Linked DNA regions of Saccharomyces cerevisiae S288C. The gene in region 1 interacts genetically with each later gene. Each region holds a gene or a part of one and is shown on either strand. Other genes may lie near its edges.

Region 1 (5,492 bases):
AGAGAGTCCTGAGATTGAGTAGAATATTATCGCCATTCTGTTCACGTCATGTCCCTGATGTGAAGAGGGAAGCAACTGTAGATGTCTTTCGAAAAATTTCCTATGCTTTTTAGTCACAACTCTACTCGGGCCATTGGTAGCTTGACACATTTTTCCACGATATAGCGGTGGGCAGAAGTGCTTGAAAGTACTTGTTCACGTTGGATAAATAAAGGTTTTCTTAAAATTGAAATTTAAATTGCTAGAGATGACTTGGGGGTTAGTGACCAAGTAATAGTTTTGAACTGGCGGGTGTTTTGATTGTATACTATAGTCACTGAAACTATTGCTTTTCCATTCTTCCAAGGCGCAACAACTCAGAAAAAAAAAAACAAGTGAATAAAACAGGTAAAAAAGAAGATCATTTAAAGGTTTTACAAGTGTGATATAAATTTTATTTTTTTGCTTTTTTATTTAGCATTATTTACTTATATGTATTTTGTTAAGACTATTTTTGGTTATCATGATAGAAATGGCATAAGTTTGGGAGTGAGTGAATGTAAAAAACAGTGAGGGAGACAAACTCAGAAATACAACCTGAATGAGGCAATCTCAAAAGGTCTCAATTTAATGGGAATTCTGTTTATTGCATGATTTGATTCGTCTCGCGTTGCTGTCAAACTCTTATAAACTTTCATCTCCAAGTTATCGACCTTCTCAATACGCTTCAAATTTAGTGTGGTATTTAGTGAAGCAAAAGATTCCCCGCCAAGAGATTCGTAAACCCTTACCACAATACTTTGTTCATCCCTTGGATTTAATGAATAGTTGGACTTGACAGCACTATCATCTTCGCCTCTTTTTATGTTAGACAAAATGACATTCTCATCTCCGGAAATGCTTATGATGTCATCAAAATTCATGCCAATATCTTTGGGGAGTTTGTATTTGAAGCAATAATTGAATTCGTGAGCGAGCTTAACAGTGTCGCTTGATAGTGCTCCTCTATGTGGATAGATAGCATATTTTATCTCATGAGTACCCATATCAGCATGCGCATCCGGAGCCTTTGGTGACCTTAATAATGATAATCTCATCAAGTTACCGTGTGTGGAAAACCCATATTTGCAATCGTTCAAAATTGAAACACCCTTGCTGTATTCAGAATAATCAGCAAATTTGTGATGGCAAACCTCAAATTTAGCGACGTCCCATGAGGTATTATAATGTGTTGGTCTTTTGGTAATCCCGAATTGAGTTTCATACGAAGCAAAATCGTTCCGAATATTAACGGGAAATTCAACTTTTAAAAATTTGTTTCTAGCATCCCAGTTTTCTACCGTCGTAGAAATGTCTACTTTACTTAATTTAGCATCAGTGACCGCAGTTGCATTGAGTGATATCACTGATTTGATTTTGCATTTTTCGGAAATTTGAAAAATGACCTCAACAGCACATTTCTCTTTTGTGTTGCAGGAAACTTGAACTTTCTTCGGCTTTGTTACATACTTGTATTGGTTGACGGAATAAAGTTCAGTATCCCAAGCCTGCCAGCCCAAAGGTTTATCATCATAAATAACAAACTGGTTGGCGCCCAATTTGTTTCTGCCATGTTCCGTGTCCAGGTATTCTACCCCCAAAGTTTCATCCGTAATGCTTGTGATCACCCCAGTCTTTTTGCAAATGATAACTTTCAACTTCCCATTGGCAAGGACTATATAGTCATCGTACCCGGTTACAGAGGACGTGTAACTACCGTTCAACGAGCACTCCTCAGAAACCTTTTCTGGTTTTGACCAAGTTAATGTTCTCATCTCAACCAAATCTGCCTTACTCTGACTCTGAAGAAATTGAACGGTTTTGTCTATTAAGGAAGTACATTCTTTCACAACGTTGTGCAACATAGGGACAGCCTCATACTTATATACCATTTCAATACATGATCCTGGTAGAACATCGTGAAATTGACATAACAAAACATTCTCCCAAAGTTCGTTAATCTGTTTGGAAGGGTATTTATACGAATCGGGATATAAAACTGATGTTTTGGCAGCTATCCATTCCAAATCATGTAGTTTAATTTCGGACAACCTCATTAATTTTTTGGTCTGAGCTTGACTGGTGTATGTCCCCCTATGAAATTCGAAATACAATTCACCACTCCATGTGGGTAAATCATGGCCTTGGTTAGTCCTTTTCAAAATGTCATCATAAAATTCATCAACCGTTATACCAACTTGTAACTTTGGAATAACATTACCATTTCTGTTATTCATGGATCTAATACGCCTCATTTTTTGCAGCATTTCCTCAGTTGGTCCTCCACCACCATCACCCTTTCCGTACAACATTAAACCGGAGCCGTAATATTCTGGTGTCTTATTCTGCTTGGCAGTACGCAAAACATCACCGAAGTGTGAATCTGCTGTATACGTATTACCAGGAGGCATGTGAGTCAATAATTGAGAACCGTCAATCCCTGCCCAGTTAAACGTGCTATGCGGAAAACTGTTGATGTTATTCCAGGAAAGCTTTTGAGTCAAAAATTTATCAATACCAGATAAGCGGCAAAGTTGTGGCATTTGCGAAGAATAACCAAAGGTGTCAGGTAACCAAAATATCTTTGACTTGAGACCAAAATGCTTCAAGAAAAACCTTTGACCAAAAAAGAATTGCCTTGCCAGCGATTCCCCTGAGGGAATATTGGTATCATTCTCAACCCATGTACCACCAACAGCAAAAAACTGAGATTGCTGAATTTTTGGAATTAACACTTTATTGAAAAATTCGGGATGATCTTCTAATAACCATTTAAATTGTTGGGCTTGTGAAGCAACAAATTTATACTCTGGGAAGCGATCCATTAAAGTACATTGGGAAGACCAAGATCTCACAATTTTCCTTCTTGTTTCTGCGAATGGCCATAGCCAAGCTGTATCTATATGACAGTTGCCGATACCATAAACATTTGTTAAAACTTGAGATTCACCTTGTTCGTAAACCTTACTGCTTTCTAAAAAGGAGTCAAAGTATTCCCTTTGTAGTAATTCACGACATTTACGAACACTTGAACGATCATTCGGGTCAAAAAGATTCATAACTGCATTGCCTAGTTGTCTTGCCTGGTGTTTTTGCCAGGAGTCTCCAGGTAGCTCTCTTGCAGCATCCCCTAGCATCCAAAAATCGATATACAATGCACGAGCATCTAGATCGGGCCAAACGATATCAGCTTTTCTCAAATGAAAAAATCTATTATCATCTGGTGGATTTATAGTGGATCCTGCACCGCAGCCAAACATACCATTATTACCAGCTTCGATGTAAAAGAAATGTTTCCCATCCGATGTTTTCGGTAAAACATATTCAGTCCTTTCACCACCTGAAAAAGCAGTCACAGGGATTAGAGTCTTTGGGTCTATGACAATTCCTTCGTTAGAACAATCCCATTGGAAAAGTAGTTGCTCGTTTGATTTAACCCAATCTTCAGGCAAAGAGATTTTCACCTTGAACCAAGTGGTAGACCAACTGGGTCCAAAGGGCTGATTTATGTTCGCTTCTCTAAACTCCAATTCACCCTTCTTGTCACGTTCAATAATAGATTTCCAAGATGGCCTCTTATCAGGGGAAACAGGGGAAGATCCACGTTCAAAAGAAACCTGGTACCACCAAACCTTAACGTGATCATGATCTAATGAAATGCGCTTCTTATCATAAAACTTGGGTAAATTTAAGTCATGGTAATCCCCACCAGTATCAATAAATTGTCTTAATCTATTCTCGTAGATTCCCTGAACAGGTTTGAACTGAGGATCATAAATGATATCCTCAGATGACATAATTAATTATTTTTGAAACTCTTTTGCAGCCTTAATCTCTATATTAGAAATGAAGTAACTGGTTAAAATAAAACCTCCTCCTGTCCTTCTAATATAGCTTCGTCTAGTCTTGAGCACATGATGGCGGAGTTCATTCTATGTCTCCCTTAAACGAGTTAGGGTAGGGATTACCCTCGCGCTATATGAATTCGTGGCACTTTTTGTGATGAAGCTAATGAAATTAGACAATAGGGTCGCCCATTTGAATAGATACTAAAAAGGAAAAAAGAAAACTGGCAATGTAAAAAAAAGTCTTGTCTATATTTTTTATATATCTATAGATTTGCCTATTGGAGTGATCAAAAAAAACTTCAATTAGCGTGATACTTAGGCTTCATTTTGAACTTCTAACATTTGCGCCGCGGTGTCAACTATGCAATCCTTTAAATTGTAAAACTGGAATCCCAGTAGTTTTTTTGTCTTAGAATTGTCAAACTTGCAAGAGTTTTTTTCTAAAAAGCTTGGACCGGTCGCAGGTTCACCTGTAGCTATCTTGCCCTTTAATTGAGGGAATTCCTCGTTCAAGATGTCAACGATTTCTTGACAGCAGAATAAACCTTCACTCAATACTAATCTTTGGCCGGTACATTCTGGTTTTTCAATTGCAACTAGGTGGGCTTTAGAAACGTCACGCACGTCAATAAATGGGCCACAGTAATTATAAAATTCTCCACCTACCTTGGAATGAATTAACTCAGATACGATCCCTGAGGAGGTATTTATGCCATGTTTTAGCGAATCTGCAAACATTTGAGGACCAAAAACGAATCCCGGATTGATAGTGGATAGTGTGAATTTGACACTAGACTTGTTTTCTTTAAGAAATTCCCAAGCAGTTTTTTCAGCAAACTTTTTCGAGCCACAATATGCGGCAACGGCGTTGGCTTGACAACTGTCCCATGTATCCTTATTCCAACTCTCCTCCGTGATCACCAAATCTCCTTTGTTCATGTCTGTAGGTGTCACCAGAGCAGCAGTAGACGAAGTAACAATAACTTTTTCAACAGTGTCTGCAGCATATTTTTTAATCGCTTCCAAGATAGATTTTGTACCGTTCACTGCAGGGGTTAGTAAATCCTTTTCAAAATTGGTAGTTTCAAAATGGAATGGGGAGGCAGTGTGTAGCACAATCTTAATTTCCTTACCATGTTTTTTGAAAACTTCATCAAAGGCGTTTGGAGCAGCAATATCTTCCACAATTTCCATCGATAGTTTGGGATTGTTATTAAATTTTTTGAGCAAGCCATCATTTTTTTCTTGAGATCTACCTGAGCCGATGACTGTATAGCCAGCTTTCAACAGATCGTTCATAATGTGTAGAGCAATGAAACCGGTTGCGCCAGAAACGAAAACAGTGGTATCAGTAGTCATAATTATTACTTTTTTAAGTCTGTTTAGCACAGTTGTACAATGCACAATTACTGTTTTTATAAACTATGTAGTAAGATCCATTGAGCTCGAGACATAGTTTTTCTGAATGAGCGGTTCATTTATAGTAATTTGTCTTCATAAAGTTGCATAGAATAAATTCCGGAATTATTCGCAAGTTTTTCCGTGTTTCTAGGATAGGGGTCGGAACCGCGGAAAATCCTATGCTAATTTCGGCCGACATTTTTATAGAGCGAAGCCGATCTTAAC
Region 2 (2,395 bases), on another chromosome or scaffold:
CACAACAAGTATGGAGTATATTGTGTCTCTTTATATACTGAGTACTTATGCAATATGCGCTCACTCAGGATGAAATGTACACAGCCGAAAGTATATTGAAAGCTGCCTCTGTGGAAACTTCTATCTAATGTTGTCTCCAGATGTAGACTATGAGGCCTGAAGAAGTCTTTAAACACCTGTTGGAGAGTATAAGGAGACTGCTACAACAACGTCTTCCCCACAAAAATTATGTGGAGGCCGGTATGATACCTGCACAAACGTTAAGTTACACATGAAAAAGAGACTGACATAACTTTGATCTCTGAAAATATGTTTTCCCCTGAGTAGCTTCACTGCTTGGATACCAATACGAATAGACCTTGGCTATAGTAAGTTGCATCTGTACCGTAGAGATTCTTGCAACCTCGCTTAAACTCTCGCTTTTATATAATATTTCTCCTTATTGCGCGCTTCGTTGAAAATTTCGCTAAACACGGGGTTTAAGTTTAAGTTTACAGGATTTATCCGGAAGTTTTCGCGGACCCCACACAATTAAGAATTGGCTCGAAGAGTGATAACGCATACTTTTCTTTTCTTTTTTCAGTTCCTAGCGTACCTAACGTAGGTAACATGATTTGGATCGTGGGATGATACAAACAACGTAAGATGAGTAGTTCCTTCCTCAATTCTTCTTTCAGCATCATTTTCTTGAGGCGCTCTGGGCAAGGTATAAAAAGTTCCATTAATACGTCTCTAAAAAATTAAACCATCTATCTCTTAAGCAGTTTTTTTGATAATCTCAAATGTACATCAGTCAAGCGTAACTAAAATACATAAATGACTATTTCTGATCATCCAGAAACAGAACCAAAGTGGTGGAAAGAGGCCACAATCTATCAAATTTACCCAGCAAGTTTTAAAGACTCCAATAACGATGGCTGGGGTGATTTAAAAGGTATCACTTCCAAGTTGCAGTATATTAAAGATCTTGGCGTTGATGCTATTTGGGTTTGTCCGTTTTATGACTCTCCTCAACAAGATATGGGGTATGATATATCTAACTACGAAAAGGTCTGGCCCACATACGGTACCAACGAGGACTGTTTTGAGCTAATTGACAAGACTCATAAGCTGGGTATGAAATTCATCACCGATTTGGTTATCAACCACTGTTCTACAGAACACGAATGGTTCAAAGAGAGCAGATCCTCGAAGACCAATCCGAAGCGTGACTGGTTCTTCTGGAGACCTCCTAAAGGTTATGACGCCGAAGGCAAGCCAATTCCTCCAAACAATTGGAAATCTTTCTTTGGTGGTTCAGCTTGGACTTTTGATGAAACTACAAATGAATTTTACCTCCGTTTGTTTGCGAGTCGTCAAGTTGACTTGAATTGGGAGAATGAAGACTGCAGAAGGGCAATCTTTGAAAGTGCTGTTGGATTTTGGCTGGACCATGGTGTAGATGGTTTTAGAATCGATACCGCTGGTTTGTATTCGAAACGTCCTGGTTTACCAGATTCCCCAATTTTTGACAAAACCTCGAAATTACAACATCCAAATTGGGGGTCTCACAATGGTCCTAGGATTCATGAATATCATCAAGAACTACACAGATTTATGAAAAACAGGGTGAAAGATGGTAGAGAAATAATGACAGTCGGTGAAGTTGCCCATGGAAGTGATAATGCTTTATACACCAGTGCAGCTAGATACGAAGTCAGCGAAGTTTTCTCCTTCACGCACGTTGAACTTGGTACCTCGCCATTTTTCCGTTATAACATAGTGCCCTTCACCTTGAAACAATGGAAAGAAGCCATTGCATCGAACTTTTTGTTCATTAACGGTACTGATAGTTGGGCTACCACCTACATCGAGAATCACGATCAAGCCCGGTCAATTACGAGATTTGCTGACGATTCGCCAAAGTACCGTAAAATATCTGGTAAGCTGTTAACATTGCTAGAATGTTCATTGACAGGTACGTTGTATGTCTATCAAGGTCAGGAGATAGGCCAGATCAATTTCAAGGAATGGCCTATTGAAAAGTATGAGGACGTTGATGTGAAAAACAACTACGAGATTATCAAAAAAAGTTTTGGTAAAAACTCGAAGGAAATGAAGGATTTTTTTAAAGGAATCGCCCTACTTTCTAGAGATCATTCGAGAACTCCCATGCCATGGACGAAAGATAAGCCCAATGCTGGATTTACTGGCCCAGATGTTAAACCTTGGTTTTTCTTGAATGAATCTTTTGAGCAAGGAATCAATGTTGAGCAGGAATCCAGAGATGATGACTCAGTTCTCAATTTTTGGAAAAGGGCCTTGCAAGCCAGAAAGAAATATAAGGAACTTATGATTTATGGTTACGATTTCCAATTCATTGATTTAGACAGTGACCAGATCTTTAGCTTCACTA

Evidence for each region.
Region 2: mutations in AMS1 (region 1) and YBR298C-A together harm fitness more than expected from each alone (negative genetic interaction), as found in Saccharomyces cerevisiae (one large-scale study listed by BioGRID).

Annotation. Positions count from the first base shown.
Region 1 is NC_001139.9:208,739-214,230, reverse strand, and holds AMS1 (alpha-mannosidase), read right to left. Parts: upstream 3,816-5,492; coding exon 564-3,815; downstream 1-563. Other genes in the region: protein geranylgeranyltransferase type I subunit CDC43, read right to left, coding at 1-150; carbonyl reductase (NADPH-dependent) ARI1, read right to left, coding at 4,182-5,225. UniProt on the Saccharomyces cerevisiae protein: Degrades free oligosaccharides in the vacuole.
Region 2 is NC_001134.8:804,535-806,929, forward strand, and holds YBR298C-A (uncharacterized protein), read right to left. Parts: upstream 723-2,395; coding exon 501-722; downstream 1-500. Other genes in the region: alpha-glucosidase MAL32, read left to right, coding at 817-2,395.